Saccharomyces cerevisiae S288C: one gene and its partner. The protein of the gene in region 1 interacts with the protein of each later gene in a biochemical or structural test. Each region holds a gene or a part of one and is shown on either strand. Other genes may lie near its edges. The genes, in order: NCB2 and IKS1.

Region 1 (3,074 bases):
AGTCCTGGTCATTTTAACCCTTTTGAAGATGCCTGAAGTTCCTAATAGTGTCAGCCCACTACTAAATAACCTGACCAATAAACTGGTGGAATTGACATTATCATTGCCAAAGGCAATTAGAAACCGTGATGCTGTTACCGAGGGCAAATCCTTAGAAGGAGACCTGACCCCAGAAGAAGAAGAAGAATACTTTATCGAATGTGATGATGATATGAAGGAGACAGTGTTAGACCAAATTAATGTTTTCCAGGAAGTACATACCTTTTTCAAGAATTTGCAAAACGAAGATGCCGGTAAGTACGAAAAAATCATAAATTATCTGGATGAATCTAAGAGAGATTCCTTGCAGGTAATTCTGGAATTTGTTTCTCAACACTGAGGAGAACACAAAAAAAATAGTGGAATGTGATAGTTTGAAATAAGGATATTAGTTTATACTCTAATATACAAATATAAAAGTTGTTTCTTTTTCGTTCTTTTTTTTTTTTGGACTTGTCTTCGTTTTTATTACATACATGCATGCGCTTAACATATTCCCATGTGGTTTATTTTCGTATATAGCATTACTTTGTTTAGAAGCTTCTATTCAAGAAGAATCCTCCGACTTAACCGGATCAGATACACTATTGTGGTGTAATCTGGACCTTGACTGTCTAAACAACTCCTCTTGTTGTCGTAGCAGCTCTTCTTCCGAGAGACCTGACTTCTTGAACTTGGAATCCCTAGTTTCTTTCACCTTCTGGGAACCCTTAAAATTCAATAATATTTCCTCTAAGAATGGTATAAACTCATTATACTCCAACTCTTCTAGCGCTTTGATCACGTGCTCGGGCGCTATGGTTTTCTTAGCCTCGTTGTCCGCCATTTCGGAAGCCATCGAGGACAGGATCATTATGAATTCTATGCCGGAGTTGATGATGATTTCTCTTGCATCCTTGGTAAACATCAAATCCTGGTCCAGTATTTCAGATATCATCTTTTGTACGGTCGCTAAGATCATTCAGTGTTTTCTCTAAGTTAGTATAACCGCTCAGTACCCGCATCAAAGCTTGAGTTTTGCAACAACAATATAACTAACATACCCTTGGGAAGCGACACATTATCGGAGTCTCCAGCCATCAATTAATTAATAGGTACAACTGTATTAGTAAATATCGTTATGATTTCTTGCCCACCTTATACTGGTAACTCTGCACGATAGAAATCGACAAGGCGAGCAGAGGGCGAAAAGCGCGACCAAAAACCGCTTCCATTTATATAGGAGGGAGAGTGCAGCGGGCTGGGCGTTTTAAAGTGGTGCAAGAGTTAATTGCACATACTGGAATACGCCAAAGATAAGAGCCCGAGCTGATTAAACCAGATCGTAATTTTTGCGGCGACTATTCGCATGAACAGGCTATGCTGCATAGTGGTGGCATTTCTTTACAATAGTTTTGGTTGAACGTGTTGTACAGTTCCCCTTATTCTTTGATTGTCATTTAACACGGGGATGAGCTTCTTGACAAAAAAATTTTATCCAATTTTTTTTCATTTCTTTTTCTAATCTTTCGCAGCTGAAGCGATGAGGTGAAAAAATTAACAAGTATTGGATAGGATATATGTATGTAAAGATAGATGCAGAGCATATATAGTTTAAACTTGGCTTAGCAAGAGGGTAAAAGACACATTTGCCTTATAATTGTTCATTACCGATGGATTCTCCTGTTCTACAGTCCGCTTATGACCCATCAGGTCAGTATTTGTGTTATGTCACTGTAGCTTTGGACAAGCAACGCGTTGGTGTACAGCCCACTCAAAGGGCCACTTCCTCCGGAGTTGATACAGTGTGGAATGAGAATTTTCTGTATTTAGAGGACTCGAAATTGAAGGTGACGTGCTTAAAATGGGTAAACCTGGCTTCTTCCGACACAGTGGCTATTATATTGGGTATGAATAACGGTGAAATTTGGCTATATTCCGTATTGGCCAACGAAGTCACCTATAAATTCACTACGGGGAATTCTTACGAAATCAAAGACATAGACTTGATGGGTAATCAACTGTGGTGTATCGACTCCAGCGACGCATTCTATCAGTTCGATCTGTTACAATTCAAACTGTTACAACATTTTAGAATAAACAACTGCGTTCAATTGAATAAACTAACCATTGTTCCAGCAGGCGATTCTGTTGCACAACTTTTGGTTGCATCCCATTCCATTTCTTTAATAGACATCGAAGAGAAAAAAGTCGTAATGACATTTCCCGGTCATGTATCTCCAGTGTCCACATTGCAAGTTATAACTAATGAATTTTTCATATCAGGCGCAGAGGGTGATAGATTCTTGAACGTATATGATATTCATTCCGGTATGACCAAATGCGTCCTTGTGGCTGAATCAGATATCAAGGAGTTATCTCATTCAGGCCAAGCCGATTCTATCGCAGTCACTACCGAGGATGGTAGCTTGGAAATTTTTGTTGATCCATTGGTATCGAGTTCAACAAAGAAAAGAGGCAACAAGTCCAAAAAATCCAGCAAAAAGATTCAAATCGTCAGTAAAGACGGCAGGAAAGTTCCAATTTATAACGCATTTATTAATAAAGACCTTTTGAACGTATCGTGGTTACAAAATGCTACTATGCCTTACTTCAAGAACTTGCAGTGGAGAGAAATCCCTAATGAATATACCGTCGAAATTTCCCTAAATTGGAATAATAAAAATAAGTCCGCCGATCGCGATCTACACGGTAAAGATCTTGCCTCAGCCACCAACTACGTGGAAGGTAATGCAAGAGTCACCTCTGGAGATAACTTCAAGCATGTTGATGACGCTATAAAGAGCTGGGAAAGAGAATTGACTTCTTTGGAACAAGAACAGGCCAAGCCCCCACAGGCCAATGAACTATTAACAGAAACATTTGGTGATAAGCTAGAATCAAGCACCGTCGCAAGGATTAGTGGGAAAAAAACAAATTTAAAAGGTTCCAATCTCAAGACTGCTACGACAACCGGGACGGTAACAGTAATTCTGTCGCAAGCACTACAATCAAATGATCATTCACTGTTGGAAACAGTGCTCAATAATCGTGAC
Region 2 (4,411 bases), on another chromosome or scaffold:
CAACCCTAAAAATAATCTTAATGGAAGCAATAACAATACGGCTGGAGCAACTTCAACTGATCATCAACACCATCACCATAGAATACAGTTTCATTCTCACAAACCAAATAGAAACAATATTGTGAACAATTCAGGGATTAGCGCGGCGAACACAACAGCCGATCTAACTAACAACGATTTAAATGACTTAATTTCAAGAGAGTATAGTTATGAAAGATTTAGAAATCAAAGTGAGCCCCCTTCGCTACCCAAAGTCACTCATCAGAATCAGAAAAATCGTAGATCTTGGCCTACAAAAGATCTAGAATCTACTGATTTCAGCTCTTTGGAAGACTCATTACCTTCTAGCATCTCTCCTCCTATACAGACAACAAGCACTATAAATTTCAACTGGTGTTTTAAAGAAGAGAAAAACAATGACTTAAAATGCAAATGGAAAGAATGTCCTGAGTCTTGTAGCTCACTATTTGACCTACAAAGACATCTTTTGAAGGATCATGTCTCTCAAGATTTCAAACACCCTATGGAACCATTAGCTTGTAATTGGGAGGACTGTGATTTCCTTGGAGATGATACATGTTCCATAGTGAACCATATTAATTGTCAACATGGTATCAATTTTGATATTCAATTTGCCAACCCAGACTCATTTTTGCCTGGTAGTATATCAAAGGAAAAACATCACTTACTACATTGCCCCAACCCACAAACACACGAAGTTTCTAAAGCAGATGGAGCACCTGATATGACGTCTGCAAATGATGTTTCCAATATACCGCCAATCAAGCAGCCGGAACAGGTGATTTGCCAATGGGATGGTTGCAATAAGTCATTTTCCAGTGCTCAGGAATTAAACGACCATTTAGAAGCAGTACATTTAACCCGGGGTAAGTCTGAATACCAATGCTTGTGGCATGACTGCCATCGTACGTTCCCCCAAAGACAAAAATTAATCCGTCATTTAAAAGTGCATTCGAAATACAAACCTTATAAGTGCAAGACATGTAAAAGGTGTTTTTCAAGCGAAGAAACTTTAGTTCAGCATACCAGGACACACTCTGGCGAAAAACCTTACAAATGTCACATTTGTAATAAAAAATTCGCGATTTCAAGTTCTTTGAAGATTCATATAAGAACCCATACTGGTGAAAAACCTTTACAATGCAAGATTTGTGGTAAGAGATTCAACGAATCGTCAAATTTGAGCAAACATATTAAGACCCATCAGAAAAAATACAAGTGCTCTGACTGTTCCAAAAGCTTTGACGATTTGGGAAAATTGAACTCACAGAAAGTGAAATGCGCATTGGAAAGAAAACCATATTTATAAATGTGATCATCATGGTCCAACGTAAGAAGGGCGGTTTTCAGGATCACATAAATGCATAATTAGAAACATTTCATATTTTACCTAGACTACTTTTTATTTATAATTTTTCGCAAACTCTTTTTTGTAAGCTTTTACAGTACACTTTTTTTACGTAATAACGTATTTCAAGCTTTATTTTTTGTATACGTTTCAGAAAAGGGGGTGGGGGGGAAGGACATTGTATATATAGATCCTATGAGTGACAACTAGGTAACCGAAGAAACACTATTAGATATATAGTTTGAGGGATAGCATAAGTAGAACTTAGAAATGAGTTTAGTACCATATGAAGAAGGTTCGCTGATTTTAGATGATCCTAATTCTAAATCAGTGGTGGTTGTTAATCCAACCTCAGGAACTTTATCATTTTTCCAACAGGACAACAGTAATAATGACTCTGAACTAAATGAAGACCAGACTGCATCTTTATCAGCACTGGACTTTCCTTCAGGGATTCATCAATACAAAAGCCCTATTGCTTCCTATGTGTGCCCGCAATGTGGTACGGAAATTAACCCTGATATTATAAACAGAAGACAACTTCATCGTCGAGCCTCTGCTGGAGTAGAATCAGAAAGCAGTAGGCTCAGTATTCCAGAGAACACTGTGCCACTTGGATTTGAATTTGCCAATTCAAGCTTTTCAAGAAGATATTTTCAGTCATTGGAAAGAAATCATCGGCACTACGCCCTACAAAACGATAGTAACAATAAGCAGGGACAGTTCAGCAAAAACAAATACTTTATTCCAGATGATTTGTTTATCCCCGGATACTTTCGTAAATTTTTCAAAATATTGTCTTTGCTGGGAAATGGTGCAAGAGGTTCTGTTTACAAAGTTGTACACACAATTGGTAATACTGAATTAGGTGTTTTTGCACTAAAAAAAATACCTATTGGAAATGATATGGAATGGTTTAATAAGTGCATACGGGAAGTGAAAGCGTTGAGTTCGCTAACTCACAAAAGTGCCAATTTGATTACGTATAATCATGTGTGGCTCGAAATGGATTCTTCGGTTGGATTTGTCAGATCCATTGATGGGAGCCAATCGGATTCACAAGAAGAAGTTCCTTGTATTTTCATTTTACAACAGTATTGCAGTGGCGGCAATTTAGAAGACTGTATTCTAAGAAAAGTGTTCAATAGGTTCTCAGATACCGAATCACCTGAAGAGAGGAAAAAAAAATTTAGAACTCGCAAGAAAAATCACGGTAAATCAGGAGAAGTTGGCCTATCTACGGAACAGCTCGTATCCATTATAAGGGATATTGCAAGAGGTTTACACGAACTGCACAGTATTGGCCTAATACATAGGGACTTGAAACCATCCAACTGTTTATTATTGACTCCATTTAAAAGTGACAATGAGAATGACAACGTATACGACAGGGAACACAATTCAGATGAGTTTTTCCCATCAATTGTTATTGGCGATTTGGGGGAAAGTCAGTTGGAAGGAGAGTCCAGATTGGGTACTGGTTGCACAGGAACATTAGAGTTTACAGCACCAGACCTTATTATCCAGGGGAGACCAGTTTCTTCTTCTACGTTGCCTTCAAGATCGAGTCACACATACAATGAATACACCTTTGCTTCCGATATGTATTCTCTAGGAATGATTTGCTATTTTATTGTCTTCGGTGAATTGCCCTTTGAACCACAGTTGGATATAGTTGATTTGAAGGTACGCATCAAAAATTTTAGGTTCGACACTGAAGGTATGATTGAAAAGCATCAAGCGATGAAATTGAAACCAATAGACCGTAGAATATTTCACCTAATGGACGCTCTTTTACAACCAAATAATGATGCTAGACCCACAGCGAAGACAGTGGAGGAGACGTTAGATGAAATGCTAATAAATTCCAAACCCGGCAAAAAATTCTGGAAAGAAAATGTGGATAGCACTTTGAACTTCAGTACAATCTCGGAAGTGAATGAGAATACCAACAGTTTTACTGATGATTATATTGACGGAGACAACGTTACTTTATCATTACCAGCACCAGAGGAAAATTTGAGCACCGTATCAACCCAAAACCTCCAAAAGTATTCTGCTTTAAATAGAACAATCCAGGTTTGTTACAAACTAGTTTCTATGATATTAACGATAATCATATTTAAGTGTACCAAAACGGGGTCGTGGCTCTCTTATATGTCACTGATATTGTTGGGAATGGTTTTTAAATCACCAGCTGATGAAAGAGGTAAGCATGCAAGAGCGTTGGTTTTACTGGCCTTCATCGCCGCATGCAAAAAATACATATACTAACAATAAGTACACATTGCAAACTAAATAGCACGTAATTTATTTTTACTTTACAAATTTATAGAAAATATTCTCGCTTATCACCAATGTTCACGAATCATCTTCACCTCTTCTAAGGGCCGGTGACAAAGGTGCATAATGTTAGAAAAATTGACCGATGAGTAAATTTATAGAGGGAATAACCAAATGAAAAGATCTAGGTGACAGAAACGCCAATTGACCTCTGTAGAAATAAAGTTCTTTCATTATGACAGCAGAAGATATACTCCTTCGAGAAAGAACATCTACTACGACACAACGCCCTGTCAATAGCGAACAATACCTTAATGTGCAATTAGCCACAGCCCCAGTAAAAAATTTTCAGACTACAAGCGAGATTAGCCGGCAAACTCTTGTAGACACATCAAATGATGACGTTTATTCCATCAAGAATTTGAAGGGCTCGAGGAACCCCATTAGCCCTAGTGTTTCTAACGTTGGCTTCCAATCCATATTCCATACAGTAGATCATCCTCGATCGAAGGTCAGTGTGGCCTCAAATCATTCCTTGAGGAGCAATGACAATGCCTCAGCTGCAACATCTAAATCTGGTTCTTCTCAGATAGGGGAATCTCATAGCGTTGACACGGTGGAGTGCTCGAACAATCTATCTAAAAAGTTATCTTCTGATGCAATATCCATTACTCAGAAAAGTTTACACTCCACGCCCTCCGGCAGGTATATGAAAGGAAAGGCTTCTGGCTTTTTTAATAGGAGAAACAGAGCACATAC

The links.
Region 2: the proteins of NCB2 (region 1) and IKS1 form a complex in vitro, tested with the Saccharomyces cerevisiae proteins (one large-scale study listed by BioGRID).

The regions. Positions count from the first base shown.
Region 1 is NC_001136.10:1,265,780-1,268,853, forward strand, and holds NCB2 (negative cofactor 2 transcription regulator complex subunit NCB2), read right to left. Parts: upstream 1,120-3,074; coding exon 1,083-1,119; intron 991-1,082; coding exon 587-990; downstream 1-586. Other genes in the region: SXM1 (Sxm1p), read left to right, coding at 1-379; UTP5 (Utp5p), read left to right, coding at 1,692-3,074. UniProt on the Saccharomyces cerevisiae protein: Component of the NC2 complex which represses RNA polymerase II transcription through binding to SPT15/TBP and thereby inhibiting the assembly of the preinitiation complex.
Region 2 is NC_001142.9:327,350-331,760, reverse strand, and holds IKS1 (protein kinase IKS1), read left to right. Parts: upstream 1-1,639; coding exon 1,640-3,643; downstream 3,644-4,411. Other genes in the region: ZAP1 (Zap1p), read left to right, coding at 1-1,330; BIT61 (Bit61p), read left to right, coding at 3,888-4,411.